Tribolium castaneum: one gene and its partners. The protein of the gene in region 6 purifies or fractionates together with the protein of the main gene of each other region. This does not show direct contact. Links are inferred from orthologs where the notes say so. Each region holds a gene or a part of one and is shown on either strand. Other genes may lie near its edges.

The links.
Region 1: the proteins of Max (region 6) and Nipped-A purify together in Homo sapiens (affinity purification with mass spectrometry; 6 studies listed by BioGRID and IntAct, with this or other methods). This does not show direct contact. The link is inferred for Tribolium castaneum from reciprocal best matches to the Homo sapiens genes MAX and TRRAP.
Region 2: the proteins of Max (region 6) and chromobox protein homolog 3 purify together in Homo sapiens (affinity purification with mass spectrometry; 3 studies listed by BioGRID and IntAct, with this or other methods). This does not show direct contact. The link is inferred for Tribolium castaneum from reciprocal best matches to the Homo sapiens genes MAX and CBX3.
Region 3: the proteins of Max (region 6) and Brd8 purify together in Homo sapiens (affinity purification with mass spectrometry; 3 studies listed by BioGRID, with this or other methods). This does not show direct contact. The link is inferred for Tribolium castaneum from reciprocal best matches to the Homo sapiens genes MAX and BRD8.
Region 4: the proteins of Max (region 6) and Sin3A purify together in Homo sapiens (affinity purification with mass spectrometry; 3 studies listed by BioGRID and IntAct, with this or other methods). This does not show direct contact. The link is inferred for Tribolium castaneum from reciprocal best matches to the Homo sapiens genes MAX and SIN3A.
Region 5: the proteins of Max (region 6) and RYBP purify together in Homo sapiens (affinity purification with mass spectrometry; 3 studies listed by BioGRID and IntAct, with this or other methods). This does not show direct contact. The link is inferred for Tribolium castaneum from reciprocal best matches to the Homo sapiens genes MAX and YAF2.

The regions. Positions count from the first base shown.
Region 1 is NC_087401.1:16,678,124-16,681,623, forward strand, and holds part of Nipped-A (transcription-associated protein 1), read right to left. Parts: intron 2,530-3,500; coding exon 1,850-2,529; intron 1-1,849. UniProt on the Homo sapiens protein: Adapter protein, which is found in various multiprotein chromatin complexes with histone acetyltransferase activity (HAT), which gives a specific tag for epigenetic transcription activation.
Region 2 is NC_087401.1:16,339,791-16,342,599, forward strand, and holds chromobox protein homolog 3, read left to right. Parts: upstream 1-1,355; 5' UTR 1,356-1,512; intron 1,513-1,564; 5' UTR 1,565-1,570; coding exon 1,571-2,098; 3' UTR 2,099-2,309; downstream 2,310-2,809. Other genes in the region: beag (protein Red), read right to left, coding at 153-858; macrophage migration inhibitory factor homolog, read right to left, coding at 2,328-2,406, 2,451-2,623, 2,671-2,778.
Region 3 is NC_087396.1:10,840,535-10,844,534, reverse strand, and holds the start of Brd8 (bromodomain-containing protein 8), read right to left. Parts: upstream 2,801-4,000; 5' UTR 2,400-2,800; coding exon 2,009-2,399; intron 1,888-2,008; coding exon 1-1,887. UniProt on the Homo sapiens protein: May act as a coactivator during transcriptional activation by hormone-activated nuclear receptors (NR). Isoform 2 stimulates transcriptional activation by AR/DHTR, ESR1/NR3A1, RXRA/NR2B1 and THRB/ERBA2.
Region 4 is NC_087396.1:24,654,453-24,657,952, forward strand, and holds part of Sin3A (paired amphipathic helix protein Sin3b), read right to left. Parts: coding exon 3,154-3,500; intron 3,089-3,153; coding exon 2,424-3,088; intron 1,597-2,423; coding exon 1,412-1,596; intron 1,354-1,411; coding exon 298-1,353; intron 80-297; coding exon 1-79. UniProt on the Homo sapiens protein: Acts as a transcriptional repressor. Corepressor for REST. Interacts with MXI1 to repress MYC responsive genes and antagonize MYC oncogenic activities. Also interacts with MXD1-MAX heterodimers to repress transcription by tethering SIN3A to DNA.
Region 5 is NC_087396.1:24,591,174-24,594,871, forward strand, and holds RYBP (YY1-associated factor 2), read left to right. Parts: upstream 1-1,336; 5' UTR 1,337-1,440; coding exon 1,441-1,881; 3' UTR 1,882-1,951; intron 1,952-2,911; 3' UTR 2,912-3,198; downstream 3,199-3,698. UniProt on the Homo sapiens protein: Binds to MYC and inhibits MYC-mediated transactivation. Also binds to MYCN and enhances MYCN-dependent transcriptional activation. Increases calpain 2-mediated proteolysis of YY1 in vitro.
Region 6 is NC_087396.1:13,930,743-13,934,871, reverse strand, and holds the start of Max (protein max), read right to left. Parts: upstream 2,801-4,129; 5' UTR 2,450-2,800; coding exon 2,411-2,449; intron 2,333-2,410; coding exon 2,261-2,332; intron 600-2,260; coding exon 489-599; intron 408-488; coding exon 284-407; intron 241-283; coding exon 68-240; 3' UTR 51-67; exon of another isoform or gene 1-50. Other genes in the region: atl (atlastin), read right to left, coding at 3,584-3,706. UniProt on the Homo sapiens protein: Transcription regulator. Forms a sequence-specific DNA-binding protein complex with MYC or MAD which recognizes the core sequence 5'-CAC[GA]TG-3'. The MYC:MAX complex is a transcriptional activator, whereas the MAD:MAX complex is a repressor.

The DNA of each region.
Region 1 (3,500 bases), on a different chromosome or scaffold from region 6:
GTCTAAGGTAACTCAACAGTCAGGTCAGGTCAGGACTGGAAACTTAGAAAAAGTCTAAACTAACTCAACAGTCAGGTCAGGTCAGGTCTGAAAACTTAAAAAAAGTCTAAGTTAACGCAACAGTCAGGTCAGGTCTGAAAACTTAGAAAAAGTCTAAGTTAACTCAACAGTCAGGTCAAGTCAGGTCTGAAAACGTAAAAAAAGTCTAAGTAAACTCAATTTTCAGGTTAGGTCAGGTCTAAAAACTTAAAAAAAGTCTAAGTAAACTCAACAGTCAAGTCAGGTCAGGTCTGAAAACTTAGAAAAAGTCTAAGTTAAGTCAACAGTCAGGTCAAGTCAGGTCTGAAAACTTACAAAAAGTCAAAGTAAACTCAATTTTCAGGTTAGGTCAGGTCTAAAAACTTAAAAAAAGTCTAAGTAAACTCAACTGTCAAGTCAGGTCAGGTCTGAAAACTTAGAAAAAGTCTAAGTAAACTCAATTTTTAGGTCAGGTCAGGTCTAAAAACTTAAAAAAAGTCTAAGTAAACTCAACAGTCAAGTCAGGTCAGGCCTGAAAACTTAGAAAAGTCTAAGTTAACTCAAGAGTCAGGTTATTTTGAAGTTCAAAATATGTTTTTTTAAGTTTAATCTTAAGTTTTTATTTAACTCTACATTGACATAACGGGCTCAAGCTACTCTTTGGTAGCTTCCAAATATCTTTTTTATATAGGTTTTTGGGTAAAAAAATAAAGTATTTTAAAAATAATAATAATAATAATTCAACTGTTAGATTTTTTACAATTACTTCTACACCTTTTTGAACCGTATTTCGAAAATTGAAAAGTTAACCTCCTTTTTGAGTGACGAACTAATTAGTATTGCATTGTCACGGAAATTACGTAAGTATGCAAAATTACAGTTCATTCGGACAATAAAAACCCTTTAAAGCTTGACTCAGAAAATATGAAACTGACAACAAAACAAAATAAAAGCTATTAAAAAGCTTTACAAAGAATTTTAATTACAAATTATCATAGAAAATAAATTTAACAGCTTCAATTTTTGCTGCACAGTTGATCGAAATTTTATTAACGTTTCCAGTGTTAATTTGATTAAAATATTATGCTTTCGTAAATTTGCTACAAAAATGTAGATTTTTTATACCTTATAATAACCCTTTTAATGTTACCTACCTGTCCTAAAAAACAATTTAAATTATTTTATTTTAATTATTATTTTATCCATCTTGCTTCATTCTTCTTCTTCTGTGTTTCCTTTCTTGTTTACAATTTATTTTTACAAATTTTTTTACAAATTCCCCAGAATTAGTTTCTAATTGTTTTCCCCCTTTTATGAGAAAATCCAACTGATAAATGACATAATCTCAATTAATTTATAAGCAATTACGCTTGCAAAATACATGTCATCATGTAAATATCAATAAAGCGGCTGTCAAGTTGAAAAAACGCGTGTGGTAATATATTAGATTGTTTTTTACTTCTGGTGAAATATGACTTATGATAAGCGATAAGTTTTGTAAAAGAAATATTTTTGTTAGATAATTGTGCAAGAAAATTTTCCTCAACACAATGTGTGATACAATTTTACATTTTAGGATAAATGACAAATAATTACCTACCTGTTTTATTTTTTGAAATATTTTGTTGTCTTATTTGTTTTTGTTAAAGAAATACAAGACAAGTTAATATTTTTAAGTGTTTCATAATAAAACATGTTTTTAAAATAAAAGTTATTCAAGACGACCGACTTTGTTTAACAATCATGATGTTTGCCAAAACGAGTGAGCGTAACTACAAGGTAGACCACAAAATTTTGACAAAACATATTTTTTTCCAAAAAATGTACTTACTGTAACAACATCTTGGAACGATTATCCAAAATCTTGATCCACTTCTTCAGCTTAAAAATCAACGTATGCAAGCGCATCGAATTCGTTTGCGAAAAATCAAAATCCTTGGTAAAATCCTGCTTCATCTCCTTAAACACCGGATCCTGATACGTAGCTTCGGCTCTCCTGGCCAGACTTTCACTAGCTGCCGAATTAAACGTAACCACCGAACCAATATTCTCAACACCAATGCCAAACGTCGACATTAACTTTTTCACAAAATTAAGTATATGTGGTGTTATTTTAGCCTCATTTACACTTTCACGATTCTCGAACGCAATCGCGTAACATTTAGTCAAACCCTGCCTTAACTGTCTCAAAACCTCTTCGTACCAATTCTCTCTAAACCACTCCATTTGATTGGCAATTCCTTCGAGACTTGACAGTGCCGTGGTGTGAATATCACGTTGCATTTTCATTATTTTTGAACAGCGGATCATAGCAGGTGTTGCTTTGATTGAAGATGTTTCGCTGGTTGTGATTGTGGCAGTGTTGCCACTCTCTTGTTGGTTATTTTGAGTGTCGGTTTGGTCTTGGGGTTGTTGTTGGACTGTGTTTGTTTTACGCGCTGTTGCCGTACGTAAAGTTAGGTATAACGTACGGATGGGGAAGTACACAGCCTGAGGGAACATTCTACCAACCTAAGAGGAACGAAACTATAACAATCTCTGCCAAATTCTAGTTACAAACTAATTTAGTAGCGTTTAAGAAGTTACTTCTACAAAGTTAAGAAAAAGATTATTTTTTTATTTTTTTTAGTTTGAAGAAAAACATTATGAAACAAAAATAATAATAAAGTCTTCATAAATTTTAGTTTATCTAAATGGAAAAAAATCCTAAAGGCTCGTATCAGTCACAATATTCGGAAAGTACTAAAAAGTCATGACATCATTATCGCCCAATCGAAAAAAAAATACTTAAAATATCTTCTTTTCGAAAGTTTTATGAGGTTTTTCAAGCTAGAAATATAATTATTACCAACATTTGCATTTTTTATAGTTATTTTAAGTTTGAAAAAAAAACTAAACATTCTACAAAGTCAAAAAAAACATTATGAAAGACAAATAAATAATAAAGTCTTTACAAATTCGTAGTTTTTCTGAATAGGAAAAGTACATAAAGGCTCGTATGACTCACAATATCGGGAAAGTACTAAAAAGTTCGTGACGTCATTTTCGTCCAATCAAAAAAAAATTACTTAAAATATCAGCTTTTCGAAAGTTTTATGAGGCTTTTCAAGCCAGAAATATAATTATTAGCAACATTTGCATTTATTTTAGTTATTTTAAGTTTGAAAAAAAAATAAACATCCTATAAAGTCAAGAAAAACATTATGAAACAAGAATAAATAATAAAGTCTTTATAAATTAGTAGTTTATTTAAATAGGAAAAGTACACAAAGGCTCCTATGACTCACAATATCGGGAAAGTACTAAAAAGTTCGTGACATCATTTTCGACCAATCGAAAAAAATTACTTAAAATATCAGCTTTTCGAAAGATTTATGAGGTTTTTCAAGCCAGAAATATAATTATTACCAACATTTGCATTTATTTTAGTTATTTTAAGTTTGAAAAAAAAAATTAAACATCCTATAAAGTCAAGAAAAACA
Region 2 (2,809 bases), on a different chromosome or scaffold from region 6:
GAAACAATAAAAAGGTATATCTGAAAATGTTTTAAACGAAACTTAAGAAGATGTCTATAAGAATTACAGGCTTGAACAGCTGAAAATTTCAGACATAATCTATAATACGTAGTTTATGTGTAAAAATTGATAAGAAAAAAATTTATCTATACCCAAATCAATCACATAGGCCATGCGTCCGGGCACAAAAATCTCCGACCGTTCAATATGCCGACTCTTCAGCGCACAAATCGTGTGGTAAATCGACTTCCCAATCTTCGTCTTAAACTTAAGCTCATCCTCATCCTTCTTCTGCACCTCCTTCTTCTCCTTCTCCTCCGTCTTGGCCGCCAGCCTCTCCAACTCCTGCTCCTGCTCCTGCTCGATGTGCTGTATCTCGCTCCTCACCTTCTGCAACAGGGCATAATCCAGCCCCTTCACCAAATGCGTATGCTCCATATCGCCCCCCAAGAACTTGCTCTCTTGAATCATCTGTCGGCGCCTCTCGGCCGCATCGAACCCCGACTTCAGATCAGGCGCCACGGCACGATAGGCCTGAGCCGTGGCCACCGGGTCGTCGCTCTGGTAGTCGGGGTTCACCCCCTGGCGGCGCTCACTGGCCCTGTCTCGGTACTTCTCCGCCAGTTCTGCCATCTTATTGTCCTCCTGCTTCTTCAACTTGGCGTAGTAGCTCTTCTTCTTGCGTCGCGCCTCGTTCTTGTCGTCTTTGGGGGGCGGCATCGTCGACGAGTTGGCCATCGCCTCCCGGATGGAGCCGGGGGCGGGCGCGTTCGCGGGCGCCGACCGCGGGGTCATCAACAACTTGCGGAAGTCGTCGTTGGTCAGCCGCTGCGACCCGGGGGCCGCGTCCGAAGGCATTTTTAACCAAAAACTGGGCCTGAATGTTGCAACTAGAACTGTCAACTGTCAATCACATAACCTTGCTTCCTCCTAGCCAGAAAAAAATTACAGTGAACCACTTCAAATGAGACCAAATAGCCCCAAAATGCTAAAAACAAGCTTTTTGCATTTACTACAATTACTATCGCGAATAATTAACCAAAATAATCAAGGAAAAACAGCAAATTCTTGTCGATAACACGTAGAAAAAATTAAAAAAAAAACAACTTTCCAACCCTGTCCCACAACTAACACTTAGTAATTATTTAATTAAGTATTTTTGCAAACCTACACGTATTTTTTTTTGCAAACAAAATTTATCAAAGTTTCAAACCAAAAAGTGCAGATTCAGTTGGGGCGCCTAACCACCGTTTTTTTCATACTGGGGGGGCTTTACGTTACGGTGAATAAACGCAAACGGCTTGAATAATAAATAATTCACCGGAAATATCACTATTTGGGGCTTTTAATTCATTAAATTAGTAAATAGGGGTGTAGGAACCTGCTTGTTACCGGCGGAGCGCACCTCCGCCATGTTTGTTTGAAAATTGTGAGCAAAGCGTCTGTTTTGCGGCTTTTGAAGTTATTTTAATTTCTTGCACGAAATCCCTCCAAAGTTGAGTAAAATTCGGCGTAAGTGTGCCCCGTGCGCCCCCCGGTGTGTACAGTGTGTTTTCTCCATCAGGGCACAATGAGCAAAAGCAAGAGGACGAGTCCTTCCCCCGCAGACCAAGAGGCCAACGAAGAGTACGTTGTGGAGAAAATAATCGACAGTCGGATAAATGCGGCCGGTATTAAGGAATACTACTTGAAATGGATCGGTTACGACGACAAGGACAACACATGGGAGCCCGAGGAGAACCTGGACTGTCCCGGGCTGATTGCGGCTTTCGAGGCCGAAAGGGCCAACAAAGACAAGGAGCGCAGCAAGAAGCGCAAGATGAACAGCACGCCGACGCCCGACATGAAGGGGGCCAAGAGGAAGAACGACGAGAAGAAAGTGCACGGGTTTGATAGGGGGCTAGAGCCCGAAAAAATAATCGGGGCCACGGATAGTTCCGGGCAGTTGATGTTCCTCATGAAGTGGGAGGGTACAGATGAGGCGGACTTAGTGCCCGCGAAACAGGCGAATATTAAGTGCCCCCAAGTTGTCATTAGGTTCTATGAAGAGCGTCTCACTTGGCATTCGCCCACAAATGACGAAAATAAAGCCGAGTGAAGGCTAGTTGTAAGGATATTCATAATGTACATATTCAACACGAATTATATACTATTATTAGACGAAAAAATCATTTGGACTAAGTAGGCGTTTAGAATCTTCCCGTATTATTATTATTTGAATCTGACTCCCTAGCTGTAAGTTTAGTTTCTTGACTTAATCAATAGAAAATTGTAATAATTTTTTTTATTTGAAATAAAACAAAACACCATTGCTTCGTTATCACTTATCACCCGAAAATATCATGAAAAGTGGTCCCATTGTACCCCACATCGCTAGTCGGCGCGTTCACGAAGTGAATATACATCCTAGAAACACAAAAAGTACAAAACCACACCAAAGACCCAATTACCGGTCCTTCGAAACCCCCAATTCCTTGCACACAACTTCGTACAAAGCCTTGGCGTGCTTTTTGTTTGGTTCCACGCCCAAGGCGCCAATGCTCATCAGAGTGGCTTGAGCGGCGGGCTCACTGGTGCCCCCCCAAGACATGTGGACGTCTCCGATCACAGTAGCCACACAATACTTGAAAAAAATTGAGTTATTCAAAGTTGACGTAACCTCAAACTTACATTGAGTGGCTTTGATAAGGAATTTGAAACAACTTGGCACAATTTCTGAGGCAAATCGGACGGGATTTTGCTCTGGGGCACGTTTGTCTCAACGCGAAAGTGAGGCATTTTGCGGAAAAAAATTGGCGGTGTTTTTATA
Region 3 (4,000 bases), about 3.1 Mb from region 6:
CTCTTTGAAACTCCTGCGTTGTTCTTATAGCCCCATTCTCTATATTCTTTCTAATCGTCAACAAATCCATGGGTCTATACACCACACTGTGATACCCTGGAGCTTGGTCATCGGTGATCGGTTTAGAAAACAGTGACGCGTATTTATTTGCAGCCAATCTACTATACACAAGCATTATAGACTTCTTCCAATTGCGATACTCCCGATCATCATCGTAAAAATATATACTGGAAACTGGTGATCCTGGAACTGAATCAATCGGAGTCGCAGGAGTTGAAAGTCGCCTCCTTGTCCGTATTGTAGACACATCTTCCTCCTCCGTCCAGGGACTGTTAGATCTTTCATTCTCGCTCTTAATCCGCGATTTGCTGTCTTTACGGTCCAGTTCGCTGTAATCCCGGTCAGAGAAACTCTCTTCAACCAACTCACTTTCGTCTCTTTGCGCCTTTTCAATGGCCAAGAGAACATCAAATTCTTTATCGTCCTTCTTCTTCGTCCTGGAATAATCGCGCTTTGCTTTCCCGGTCTTGTCCACTTTCACTTCCATATTGATATCGTCGTACAATTCCTCGTTATAGTCGGAAGTCAATGTGGTTGACTCGTCCAGTTTCCTTTCGTCTTTCTTCTCAATCTCTACACTAGATTTTTCATTTTCTGAAACTTTGGCGTCTGTTTCTGATTTTATTTCCGCAACTTCTGTACTTTCCCCTGCTGTTTCTTTCTTTGGTTCCGCTTTAACGGAATGGGCTGGATCTTCAGTTTTATTGACTTCCTTGTCAGTATCCTCATCATCCATAACTACAACTTCTACAATTTCGACGGATCCAGGAGTTGTGCTTTTATCTTTCTTATCGGAATCATCAGTTGGTTCGTTTTTTACTTCTACCAGTTCATCCCGAGATTCTTCGCCATTTGAAGTTAAGTGTTTATTGTCTGAATTTGGGGCTTCGTCAGTAGTTTGTGACCGATCGTCGCTGTCCTGTGCTACCATAGTTTTAGAAGCGTCTGTTTTCACGGCTGTTGCAGGTTTAGCGGGTTCAAAAACTTCCGGATCTTCTTGGAACTCAAACGGATCTATTGCCGGTGTTGTAGTTTCCGTCCGTTTTTCTGTTTCTTTGGTTTCGTCCTTCATATCAGTTTCACTCTCTTCGAAATCTTCCAGTTCCAAATTTAGATTAAGATCACCGTTTCCATCCAGTTGTAGATGCTGTTCCGGATCTGCAACTATATCCTGCGCGTTCTCAATCAAATCGGAGATGATAACATCAACGTCATTCTTTATTTCTGGAAGTGGGCCATTCTGGATCAAGATACTGCTCGCCAAGTCATCAATTTTCAAAATTTGTAGATTGGCATCATCGAGGATATCGTTAGTATTGACATTCTGTTGTTGGGTTTCTTCTCCGGTTGGCTCTTGTCCTATAGCTGTACTAACCAAAAGTTGCAATCCTGGAGAAACTGTTTCTCCAGTTGAGGAGCTTAAAAGACTGGCAATCATGGGGCTAGTAGTTGTGTTGGTTGGCCGTTGGTTGGTAATCGCTGAATGCAATATTGAGGAAGTTGTAACGTTTGGAACTTGTGATGGTGATTTCAGAAGACTTGTCAGAAGTGGCGATAGGGCCGGTTTAGGGGGCTCCTGCACTAGGATTTTCTGTTCTTCTGTTGTATTTTCCATCTCTGGGATTGTGTCCATAGCTTCGGAATTTTTACGTTTTTGACCAATCACCGGGGATGGCTTAACTGGTCTCCACGCTCTTTCTATTTCCTGTTTTCGTAACTCCCTCTCCTTTAGCCACTGTTCGTGTGCCAGGGCTTCTTGTTCCTTCCTGTGTTCCTCTTCATCTATTTCCTTACACCAAATATCCAGTTGTTCTTCACTTACGTTACCTTTAAATAAAACAATTAATTATCAAAAAATACTTAACCGAATTTCCGCAACAGTCTTAAGTTTGAGAGGCTCTAATATAGCCCCTGTAACTTCAAACAACTTTAATTTAATTGTGAATACCTGACTGAAGCAGAGCTTTATCTCTCTGCAATTTCTGATATTCTGCTTTTTCTTCCGCTAGTAGTCTCTTGAGCTCAGCTTGTCTCTCGGCCAAAAGTTTGCGTAGAATGACTTCGGCGGGGGTTTCGATAGTGACTTCGCCCCCAGACGTTCTTTTCTTCCTCTTAGGTGTTTCAACATTCGCTAAAAGAGCCCCATACTGGGCTGCACAGTTCTTCTGGTGGAACCAATCAGGGGGTCTGTTGGGTTCACCAAAGGGTTTTAAAGCTCGGCTCACACTTGTTAAATTCTGGTCCATGTTACGAGCCACTGCTAGAGCCAACTGTTCACGGATTGACCATTTATCCAGCGGTTCACGCTTTATTTGTAAACGTTCTTCAATTGAACTCATTTTGAGGTTATGTTGGCCCGAACGTCCAAAAATCAAATACAAGAACCTTGCCAGGAAAGTGACTAATAGTATCACTGAATAAACATTCTTGAAGTAGAAATTCGCACACAAGAATTATCGTTATAACAAGCTTGAACGTTGTTTATATTTGTCAACTGTCAAAGTGTCAAACCTGGACAAACTATGCAGAAGTTTTGCCTGATTTTTAAAGAAAGTCAACCACAATCAGTGTAAGATTATGTAATGTTTCAAGCACACTTGTCTAAATAATTTCGTAAGATCTTATTATTCATAAAAATTAATAATCTTGAAAATTTCATACGCAGACATTATTAGATATTACGTACAGACCGTGATTTTTGACGAGGGCTTTTATGATCGAAAAGTATTAATTTAATGACTGTTTTTTAATTAATTAGTGTATTTTGGGTGTAGCTGGTTTAATGTTATCAAATACATATAGATTGTGGCCACCTTTTTGTATTTGTCGAATTTTATGGCATATTCTGTTATTAAGTATTTCGGTAGCTTGCGCGGTAGCTACTTTAGTGGCAAGTTGTCAAATTTTTAACCTCACTTTCTTGCGAATGGAATGCAATAAAAAATGTTTTTTTCGAATGCTTTGGAAGCTGTTTCTGGTGGTAGCTCCACCCAGTGTCCCAAAGTGAAGTAAAAAAAGAAGTTGTGAGTGTATACATAACAATCAAATGTAAGGATACTCTTTGAAAAAAAAAAAAAAGGTGGAAACAGTATTCAGAATGGCCCCCGAAGGGCGAATCAGTTATTACATCGACAAATATGGAGTGTTTCATAAAAGTGGTGGAAAAAACGACAAGCCGGTGAATGCACCAGCGTTTGAGACAAGTGTGACAAGACCTTCCTCAACTTGGCTGCGTCTGATAATAATGTTTTGGAATGCAAGAGTTATGAAAGCGGCTTTTCGTTTTGGCGTTGCTGCAATAATCATGAATCAGTATGAGCGTCTGGGATTTGCGGTCCTCTTACTGTGTTTCACGCTATGATAGTTTACTTTGTAACATAGTAGTTGAATAAATTTGTTTGAAATGTTTTTGTGTGTTGAAGGAAATGCGGGCAAACTGTAAAAATGCAGCTTTATTCAATTATAAACCAAATTATAACAACAGTTAAAACATTAAATAATTTGAGATTACTCTAATAGTTGACCAAGAGGGTAGCGATGCGCAATTTAAAATAGGCACTTTTCTACATTTATTTACATGATTCTGAAAAAAATCCCTACTTATAAGGTGAATATGACTGTGAAGGAAATTTTCAACAAATCGTAATTTTGTGAATAAGAAATGATTTTGTTAAAATCGCTCTCATCGTCAAAAGCATTTCCCAAAGTTACGTCACCTAATTTGATAACAGCATGAGCACTTTCGGTAAAAATATAACAGACTTCGTTACAGAATTGCAGTTTTAACCCCTAAAGTGTGTGTAACTACATCCTTTACAACTAAAACACTTCATATACTCTACTCTCATTACGTAACAAAGCAATATTTATAATTTCAGTCTAGGCTAGGATTCATCATGGCAAGAATTTGTGAAACCTATTTTAACATAAATTATATGAT
Region 4 (3,500 bases), about 11 Mb from region 6:
CACTAACGTTCTCACTTGCCCAATGTTTCAGCCACGCGCGAAATTTACATGACAAGCGTTTCGTTATCGCAGGATGACTCTGAAACAAACAATGACACAAATTACCAAAGCATTACTTTTAAAATGACTTCATTTACATAAAAAATGTAAAGATAATCAAAGTTTTACCAACGTAAAGTAATGAAAAGAAAGTTATCAAATTGTTTTTAGAATTTGAAAATTCCGAAATAAAAATAAAAAAAACTTTTAAAAGGTTCTGAATCGTTTGTAAAAGTATGTTAATTTTTGAAAACTTACCTTTCTCGCTCTCGAAAAGGCACTTATTTTATACAAGTAACTATCCTTGTTAACCGTAAACATAATTTTCGGATCCTGTGAATTAAATTTACATTGCGTTTCATCCGAAACTTCATATCCCGGATGTTCCGTTTGATTTCTTTCAGGCAAAGGACATTCGCTAAACTTCCTCTCCAACTCCTCCAACATTGCAAATTTATTGTCCGCTTCGTCGGTCGTTGCCCTATTTGTCTTTTTGTTCTCTTCATCTTGATTCTTCTTTTGTTCGTCGTTCTCTTCCCTTTGTTGTTTATTCTTTTTTTCCACCACCGATGACGTTTTATTATGAAGCCCCATACGTTTTTTATACAACCTTAAATTCCGATTTAAATAGACCGGCGAACGCGGTTTATTGTCCACATGTGTTATATCCGCGTAACACTCTTTATACGAACTCCACTTTTTCGTATCTTCAACCTTTTTCGGATCCTCTGAATCCGTATCAAGCAACTCAATAGTCATCCTACAATCCTTCTTATAGATATAGATCTTGAAACAATTCTCGTCTTGTACAGCTTTTTCGCCTAGCCTTTGATACGCCATCTCTAGATGAGCTCTTTTGTGCGCTGTAGAACATGATCCTCCGGTAGCTCCACGTTTTTGTTCCTTGACAAATAAATCAGTGCAAGCAATTGCAGTTCGTTCAGTCACACAGTGCTGAAGTTGACGAACCGCATACGAAACCACTTTATCCAAAGTGAACGCAATATAAGCATGAATACCGAACATTTCTCGAAGAGTATCTTCGTAAGTATTAGCGTCCATATTACCATCCAAGAGATTTTTAACCATATCCAAAAATGCAACGTAATAATCTTCAACTTCAATCTGAGGCTTTGGTTTCAATCGAAGTGCAACGGCTGTACTTTCTTTACGACCTGTTCGAGATTTTGCTTCTTCAGCTGCCAGAATTACAGCACGTTCGTAGATTTTCGCCAAACGTTCGCATAAAACAGCATGAAGGCGAAGGAATATGTACCAATTATTATTGGCCATGAATAGAGTATAAGCTTCATCCTGTAACAATGAAAAAAAAACCTATAGAATAATTTTTTTTTAGTGATGTTAAGCTTACCGGATCTGAAACTTGAGCATGTAAAGGAACTTTGATGTCTTCGTCTTTACAATCAGGATCTGTTTTTACTTCAACTTCTCCGTCCAATCTTCCGGGAGATTTTCCTGGACTTGATTCGCTTTTACCTTTAGAGTTGTTCCCAGTGGGACTGCTTATCGGGCTGTCGTCACCATCCTCTTTTTCATCTGCAATAAAGCAATTCGTTTATAGGTAATACAATTTAATTCATATTCATAAAAAGTGACAATTTTTATTAATTTTTGCTTTAAACGATCACATTACCTTGCGATATTTAAGAATAATAAATAAACAATAATAGATATAATGATTTTTCACTAGCCTTTTTTTACACATCTTCAAAACTACAACAAAACTCGTAGACCAAATATCTTAAAACTTAATCAACCTAAAACGAAATCCCTAATCATCCTTAACTAAACTTTAGTTAAGAACCTCCTTGATAATAAATCAAAAAATAGTAGCAACAATTTTATACAAAGAAAAAATTTACCTTACAAATTTATTCAACTTTTACTTTTATTAAAACAAACTGTGAGTATATTAACGCTTTGAAAGTGTTTTATGAAATGGGTATCAACATTACAAATTAACGTCTGTGGGTCAAGGACATTCATTACTAACCCGCCTTTATGTACATAAATTTTCATTATTTGTAACACTCATATTTCTAGTATTACAAATCATTATATTATCGATACGTCAAGTACAGACCTACGTCATCATGTGTCACTGAACGCTACAACTTGTTTTTAATTTGAAATTTTTGCTGGTGGTATTTAAATGACTCAATAATTCGCAAATAATAAAAATAGCTCTTGATATTTTAACACTTCCAACTCGAATATGTTTTAAAAAAGACAAACAATATTTTTTCTTTTTCTATCCGTCTTATATTCAGGTTTTCTTCAACAGACAACTATGAGTGGGTATTAGGTTTTTTAAAAGTTATAAAAATTAAGATTTTTTTTAAATAAAAGTTAAAACCACTCACCGTCATCACGTTCGTCGTCCGTCAACTGCTGCTTCGGATGGAAAAACAACTCTGGCAAAAATTGTCTCAATAAATGCTTAATTCTCCTCTTCTCCCCTTTCTGTATTCCGGTCTGTCTTTTAACATGATGAATCAATAGATTCGCAGCATCATCCAAAATCGTCCTATCCTTGTAGGGCAATACTAAATGTGGTCCAACCACTGGCTCGGCACCTTCTTCATTCTGTTCGTGTCTTTCATCAAACAACGTCTCGATTTCATTAAACAAACTCTTTGATCGCAACGCTTTAACATCAGTCTGTTTGAAATTGATCCCTTGATGATCCAAACTCTTTAAGTAGTATTTTTCGTTCTGTTCCCTCCATATCTTATTAAAACCTTTTTGAGCTTCTCTCCATTCCTCTTCTTTCGCTTTGAGTCGTCGCAAAACGACCGGAACAGCAGTTTGAGGATTTCGTTTCAGGCCATCAATTATATCTTGTGCTTTATCACCGTAGATTCGTTTCAAGGCGCGTTGATGCAATGTAGGAGATGAACCACCAAGACAGTCGTCCAGACGATATTTGGCAACGTCTTCTGCATTCATACGACTCATTTTCTTGTTTACACCTTCGAGAACACGAATTGTTGAAGCGTTGGTTTCGATCACAACGTCCAGCTCGAACCTAAAATACAAAAAGTAAAATTAAGTACGCAAGTGAAAAAATAAATAAACAATAAATTCGCTCACCTTTCATCTTCACACCTGTACATGTACTCTTCATATTGTGTCTTTCGCGAACTAACAAAGGTACTATCTTCCGACCACGTTGGAAATGACACCCATTGGTCATTCAAAACTTCCTTGCACAACTGAGTTCGACCCGAACAAGTGAGACCTTCCTGTGACGGTGGAATGACGCAATAACTCGCACCTAGACGTTTCGCAGTGGTCAGATCGATTTCAAGTGCTGTTTCGCCTTGCGGTCGTTCAGTTCGTGTGGCGTTGTAAGGCATCGGTTCAACTTCGTTCTGACCAAGAAATTCACGAAACCATCGCATCAATTCGGGGAATTTACCCAAAAATGGAGTCACGAC
Region 5 (3,698 bases), about 11 Mb from region 6:
AGTCAAAACTTTGCCATGAATGCACCATCCAAGAGTCCTTGTTTTGTCCTGCTTGTACATTAGGCAATACCTTTTATGAGCCGGATTATAAAGACGTGGATATTGCCTTATATTTTGTAGAAATCTGTGTGAACCCGCTTATTGTTAATTATTTCGTGATAATGAGCGATTACCTTGAACGGAAAAAATGCAATAGTGTTGCTGCAACTGAACCCTTTGAATTTAATTACAGCGTTAGTTAAATTAAAATTAACATATTTTAATGAACGAATAATTTATGCGGCAGTAACGAGCGCAATTTTCCTATTTGGAGTACGGAGATTGTTCATAACAAACGTTGAATAAAATGCAACAATAGAAAATGCATTTTTCAAGGGAAATTTCTGCATTTCAGACGCAGTACTATTGTGATCATATCGGATTCTAAATTTATTTGTAGTACAGAACTAATTTATATAATTTCATTTATCTGATTCTATATCATATGAAATATGCTAATTAAACCATGATCAAAACAATTTAATGTTTTAGGTATTATTTCCATGAGAGCTTTAATTGTTATAGAAGATCTATCCTAGCTGAAAAAAAAGAAACGAAAAATTGTTGGAAATCGTAAAAATAGCAAGTGTTATCGTCAGTAAATTAACTTACAATGACAGGACACGAATAGGCATACACAGAAGAAATCCAATGATTTTATTATGAGAAAATACAAAACAGTTATGCAAGAATTTACTTGAGAAAGAATAAAATACAAAGCTAGATTTAAAAAAACCTGGTGATTTAATTTTTAAACAACAGCAATGACGTAGTAAATTTTTGTAAATGTAATAATGGAAAAATTGTCAAATGATGAAAATAGATAATTTTAGGCGCTATCAGCTGCTTTTTTGTTTGTTGCTCTAGGTCATACAAACTCCAGAAAAAACGCAAAAAAGGTCGCCATTTTCACTTTTTTTTTAAATTTTTAACCGCCGATTAAAGCGAAACTGTTAAACAGAGTCAGAGAAAAACGGTAAAATCACTGAGAATCGGAATAAAAAGCCCTACAAAAATGACATAGGTTTCAAGGCGATATCTTGAAAAAAAAATCATTTTTCAAACGCCGATTATCGCCAAACTAAAAGAGCTAGGAAAAATGCTTTTTTCCATCGTAAAGAGCACATCAAAATCTATCGAATAAGATAGGTTTTATTTGATAATGAGACATTTTTAAAATTAGCCATTTAAAAAAAATGCAAATAAATGCAAAACCGCTCCGAGTTTAGTTTTCCAGTTGTAAATTGAAATCAGCTGATTCCTTCGAATCAAACTCGGCGCCACAATGCTGCCACCCTTTGCCACACATGCGCACCATTCTCCTGTCAAACTCGAGTCAATCATGGCGTTAGACGTGTGTTTTGGCTGTCAGCAATCTCGTAAAAAGTGAATTATCCCACAATGGACCACAAGAAAAGCCCAATCCGACGCGCAAAACGTCAAGCAAAGGTGCTCGAGGAGAACTTCTGGGACTGCAGCGTGTGCACGTTCAGGAACACAGCGGAGGCGTTCAAATGCCTGATGTGCGACGTCCGGAAGGGCACCTCGACGCGCAAGCCGCGTATCAACCCGCAGTTGGTGGCCCAGCAGGTCGCCAGCCAATTCCTACCCGCCACCAGCCAACAGAAGAAAAAGGACAAGAAGGCGATGAAGAAACGGCGCCATCCACCAAGACTCAAGAATGTGGACAGAAGTACGGCGCAGACACGCGAAGTCACCGTCAACAGCGTCACGGTCATCATCACCGAGTACAAGCCCAAGAGCAAGTCCACGGAGACGATCTCCAGCTCCAGCTCTTCGGATCATGGATCGCACTCGGAGAGCAGCATGGACGCGAGGTGAAGGGTGGCGTGTCAGTGACTCGAAGGACAATGACGCCTGACGTCGACTTTACTTTGATTGTATATACAGGGTGAGTGATTAAACGCACCGTCTTTCGTTGCCCTCTTATGATTTAAACGCAAACAAACGACTAGTGGAAGCTTTGTATACGAAATATTTGCGATTATCAACTCCGGAAGTGAGATTGTTTTAAATATTTGTTAAGGTTATTTTCTCTTTTTTGTAGTGTAACATTGTTGTCTCTGTTTCATTATCTTGTGTAGTTCATAAAGGATTGTTTTTTTTTTCGTAAATAAATGCAATTATTTGATTATTTCGAATGCACACAATGTCAAAGAGACGCTTTAATTACTTATTAATAAATGGTCAGTAAAATAATAAATAATAAAGTAAAATAAAGTATGAAACGAAAACCAAATATCACTCAAAAAATTTGCGTTTATTGTAGCTTCTTTTTATTTCTTTGTATGTACTGTGTGAATTTTTTCAAAGCGTCATTAATTTAATCCGCAATTAAATTCGTAATCACGTGACTAAATTCTTTTTTACTGTAAATATAGAAATTTTCGCCGAATTTCATCATGAATCAAAAAATTATCAAATTTGTGTAAGGTTTTAGTGCATTTTTCAATCAGAAACTCACTTATTCGCGAAATTTGAATTCAAAAAATACTAAATTGGGTCCAAAGCACGAGATAAATTCGTTCTTTTTTTCCTTGAGGTTTTTTCATCTTGATTTTTTATATTAAAAAAAGCATTATTTCCACATCGGTAATGAAGGTTTTGAGACTTTTTTAATAAAAATGAAAGCGCGTTCAAGAGGAAAAAACCGACAACACCGTATTCACATTTTTTTTAACTTGAATGAAACGGAATCTATATGGTGTTTGATGAATCTTTCGGAAACCGGAGGTTTGAAAACTTTGAATTACTTACAACTTCCACTAATTGTTGGGCGCTTAAGTTATAAGAAGGGAATGAAAGAATCGGCGTTTAACGACTCACCCTGTATGTTTTTGACTATCATCAGAGGAGCCAACGGAGATAGTACTCGATTCCTAGCTGTCACTGCCCCAACCAGCTGTTGTTCAACGTAGACGATTTACTTTTTCGGGTTTCGAAGAAAATTTTATCGAGTAAAGACTGTGAAGGACTTTATATACCCGCATTAAATGCATTTATATTATGTAATAATATTCGAAATAGCTAATTTGTATTATAAATTGTTGCTCATTGTTAATGTATTTATGAGTGATGTCCGTATGTTTGTTTGATGGAAAATGGTGTGTGATGAATAAATTCGAAATTTTCTATTTTTCAGTGACTTTCATTTTTAATTTAAGTGGATATCTACTTGCCAATGCAACGTTATTAATATTTTTTTTTGGTTGTGTTGAAAACAGTCGCGTGCTACTTTCATAATTTATTATGTACTAAATAATGCATTAATATTGTTTACTTAAAAATAACTTATCAGATATTTAAAATTTCACGTACTCAATGTGTTTTAAAATTTAATGATTTATTTAGTGGTGAACCCAAAGAGTTGTACAATTGATAATGGTGAGCTAATAGGGGTTAGGGTTTTCATTCCATCTAGTATATGCATACACTTGAGTAATCGCCATCAAATTACCTGATTGTATAAGTTCTGTCACTAATAATATTGATATTAATTGGCCTTTTGAATATTAATTGTGTTACAACTTGAATTAATCAAAAATAATTGAAACGACTGATACCAGAAATCACAAATTACGCTTCACTTACGGTAAATTAATTAACATTCAGAATCAAATATGACAGACGTCCTCAAA
Region 6 (4,129 bases):
CTACGTTAAACATGAAGTGTTAAAGTAAAAACGAAACGAGTTTCAATTACCATCAGCTCAACTTCTGCTAGTGGTAAGATCCAATTTTTTGTTTCTTTGGCCTTCTGGGTTGAACAGACCCTTCCAAGTCTGAAGTATCCGATTCGGTTTCATTGTAATTTGAATCTTTACCGTCGGAAGATTCCCCTCCAAAAGAACCCGTGCTTTTGGCCTTTTCCAAGGTACGAACTGTAACTGCAACTATTAAAAAAATATTTTAAACAAGTCTGAGAAAATGTATTACTCTGCGCTTCCAGAAGACTGTTTTGCCTCTTGAGATCTTCAATATCCTGCTGATGGGAATGGTTCTTTTTCCTCATGAATACTATATATTCTGCAGCTTTCTTCAAAATTTGCGCTCGACTGGCCTAAAAAGCAAAGATACAATTGCCACGATATCTGTCTTACGAGTAATCGTTCAGCAAACGTGAAAAATCGGACAGACGTACCACTTTTTCGCCGTTGAGAGCAGGAACAGAGTCTCGCAAACTGCTAAAACTGTCTTTTATGTGGTCTCGCCGTTTCCTTTCCAGCGCGTTGTGGTGCGCCCGCTTCTCAGCCTAAACAGCATACAACCAAATAAACACCAAAGCAGACCCTTATTTTTTTTTACTGGTTAAATTGTGTGTCTGACCAAATAAATTACATAATGCAATAACTCAGCAATGACTATGACACTAGGAAAATTGAAATAGGCACAAAACGAAGAGGAACACCTTTTATTATAATTTTAAAAGTTGTAGCACCAACCTCTTCAAAATTGTAAATGGCATCACCCCCCTTTGTGATACATGTTTAGTTTTTCAAATAGTAAACAATTTAACAAAAACCATTTCTTAAAGACAATTATGCACCAATAAGATGAAATTGTCAAAAGACAAATTATTATCATTGTATTTTTTTTATAAACTGTTTTGCAAAATTAAATTAAGGCACATAATTTTCGTGTGAAATAAGTTTTCTTTATTTTAAACATGGCTTTATGTAAAACAATACTATTTTAAATGATTTATAAAAATTAATATTTTTATTTTCTGATTTTTTAAAATGCATTTATTCAAAACAAATTGTTATTAAATAGTTCCGACGTATTTACGCTTATGTAGTTACTTACAACTCAAACGTTTTTTTGCGTTTGACATCAAAGATTTGTCAAACTACACGCATTATGCGGAAATTATAATTTCCAAACAAAAAAATGCTGACTTTCTATAGCAGCTACATTTTTCAATAAAAAAATATATTTTCATTTAACGTGACGTTGGTTAATAATGCAAAATAAATGGCAACTTAATTCGAATCATGTAGTTTAATTCTAAATTAAATTTTAATTCCGCTTTCTGCAAACTGGCTCGTAAAAGAATTTATTTCGTTCGAAACTACAAACTTCTGTTATCAACTTATCAATGTATTGACAAATTTGAAAAAAAATCAAGCAGCTTTTATTCTTTGCCGCCAAACCTCGTCACCAAATGTTTAATTGCAAATATTAATATGACTCACAACGTTGACACAAAATTTTAATTCAGCAGTTCTAGTCTCTACAGTGTTATTTTTTTTATTCTTTGACTAATAATTATCGTTAAGGTCATTTAAATGCATAGTAGTCAATTTACTACAAAACAATATAACACGGCGAAGAAAAAAAGAACGATTTCGTTATTAGTACTATTATTTGTATGTATTTGTATTTACATAAATTCTCAGAAGAGAAAAGATTACTGAAAATTTAAATTAGTGATTTTAAAAGTGCAAAACATCTAGCGATAATAAATAAAACAATGTAAAGATTTTAAGCTTCAAGAACGTTTTTGCAGCTTTGTATTTAAAAAATATTCTATATGCAAAAGTAATCCTTACGGACAATGATTTTGCGATTGCAAAAATAATTAAAAAATAAGCATAATACAGTTGCTCAAAGCTACAGTAAATTTTATAAAGACTTTCTTCTTTAAAATGATTAAATTGTGCTTAAATAACGGAAGCTTGCAAAATAATAACCAACAGCTAATTTTTCCATAAAAAAACTAACAGCAGTTGTTTATTGTAAATTCATTTCGAGATGTTGCATAATTACAAAATTACGTGGAAAGCAGTGTTTATTTCCATTGCGATAAATGAAGACAAACCAAAAAATCAAGAATATTGAGGTGCAAAAAACGAAACGAAATAATTAGAAAGTACGAAAATTCGTCCCTGAACTGGTGGCCAATTAATTTACCTGTGAGTAATACTGGCTTCCAGTGGATTGTCTGCTGGGGGTTGGCTGCCGGGAATCCGAATCGTCACCTTCCTGAAATAGGGGGGTACATAATGAATCAATGTTAATATTGATCCATGTGGTGTTTTGTGTATAAACAACACTACTCACATCGCTTTCGACGTCAATATCCCGATCGTCATCGCTCATTGTAAGAAGTACAGAGTCCTGAGGTGAAAACGGCTTATTTCAGGTGTAATACACAACCATCGACTTGTACTTTTCCCAAAATGTCACAACACGAGCAAACTAGACGTGAGTCGCACAATGTGCGTGACCTGTCATACTTGGCCAACTAGAACCACTCGAAAGTCCAGTTCTTTGTCACAAAATTCCAAAATAGGGGCGACTTTCCACAAAACGGGGCGCTAAACCGTCAAGCACCGAACTCTATTAGCGATTCTGGGGCACTTTTCCCGAAAAGTGTGATTTAGATAAGCTTTCTGACGTTTTATTTGTACCCAATTTTGCACCGACCCTAGCTGAGAAAACAAACGTCAATTACCGACTGAGGCGTGCAACTTGTTGGGGTTACACGTGTTCTGTTGCGCACGTGATTTAGCCCAGACGCGAACCAAAAAAAGGGCGGAGAAAAAATTCAAATAAAAATAATAAATTTATTCATAACCGAAACCAAATACAGTTCAATTAAACTACAATAAAAAATAAAAATAAATTGAGCAGTTAGCTAAAAAAATTGTTCATATCTAGCTGAATAAATTATAACATGGTTCGTAACAGTCTAAAAAAAATAATATTTATTGTTATAAAATTTGATTTGGAAATAGTAACATTCAATTCAGTTTGTCTTATCTATTCACTAGTAACAATAAAAATGCGTTTTTATCATTAGTGTACTGGAGACTTGGACACCACAATACGAAATCACAAGACAAACAGTAAAAACAATTATTGGGTTAATAAAAGGCACTTGGGTGGTGAATTATATTGCAATGTCAGTACTGTTCACGATTACTACTCTAGTTAAACGGAGAAACTGATTGACCAATGGAACATGTAATAAATTTTGCAAACTTTACATAACAGTGTACAATAAAATGGTTACGTAATAGATAAAATTGTATTATTTTTAGAAGCGTTATGTACAAATAAATTACAATAATACCAACATTGCCAAGATATCACATAATCAGCAAAGTTACATACTATGTTCCACAATATATGGCAAGACAAAATCCACAACAATCCAAATCACGTGACGATTAACGCGTTAATATGTAACGATGCTTTTAGGGTGCTATTGTAACAGACGGGGGAATGTTATCACGCCTGTTTCTTGCCGTTGGTTGTGATATTAGTTGCATTTAGGACAGTTCTTTCAGCTACTTCGGCAGCCATTTGCTGCATACCGTTCTCGACGTAAGCTTGTACGACGGGTTTCATAGACTGAAAAAATAAAAATATTACGATTCACACAACAAAACATCGAAATCGTTAGTCAAATCCATGCAAGTATCTAGAATTGATTAGTACATACGTTTTCTTTCTTTTCTCTTTCTAAAATAGGCATGCTACAAAAAGAAGATATCTTTAGTTATAGCACTTATAGCACAACAAATGTGTAACTAAAATAACGGATATCTAAAGCTTAGGATATGAAACGACGTACAAATAAAACGTTCTCGTCCCCCATAAGTTTTCAGAGCAATGAATTTGAAAAAATGGTTGTATTTGTATAACTGTTAACACAGAGCAAACAAAAAATAAAAGCAGATTGTGCATTTAATTGTCAATAGTAAGACGGAAACAATGCAAAAATATAAGGTGAAACGCAAAATAATTATTCTAAGCGATAATTTTTTGCGGACC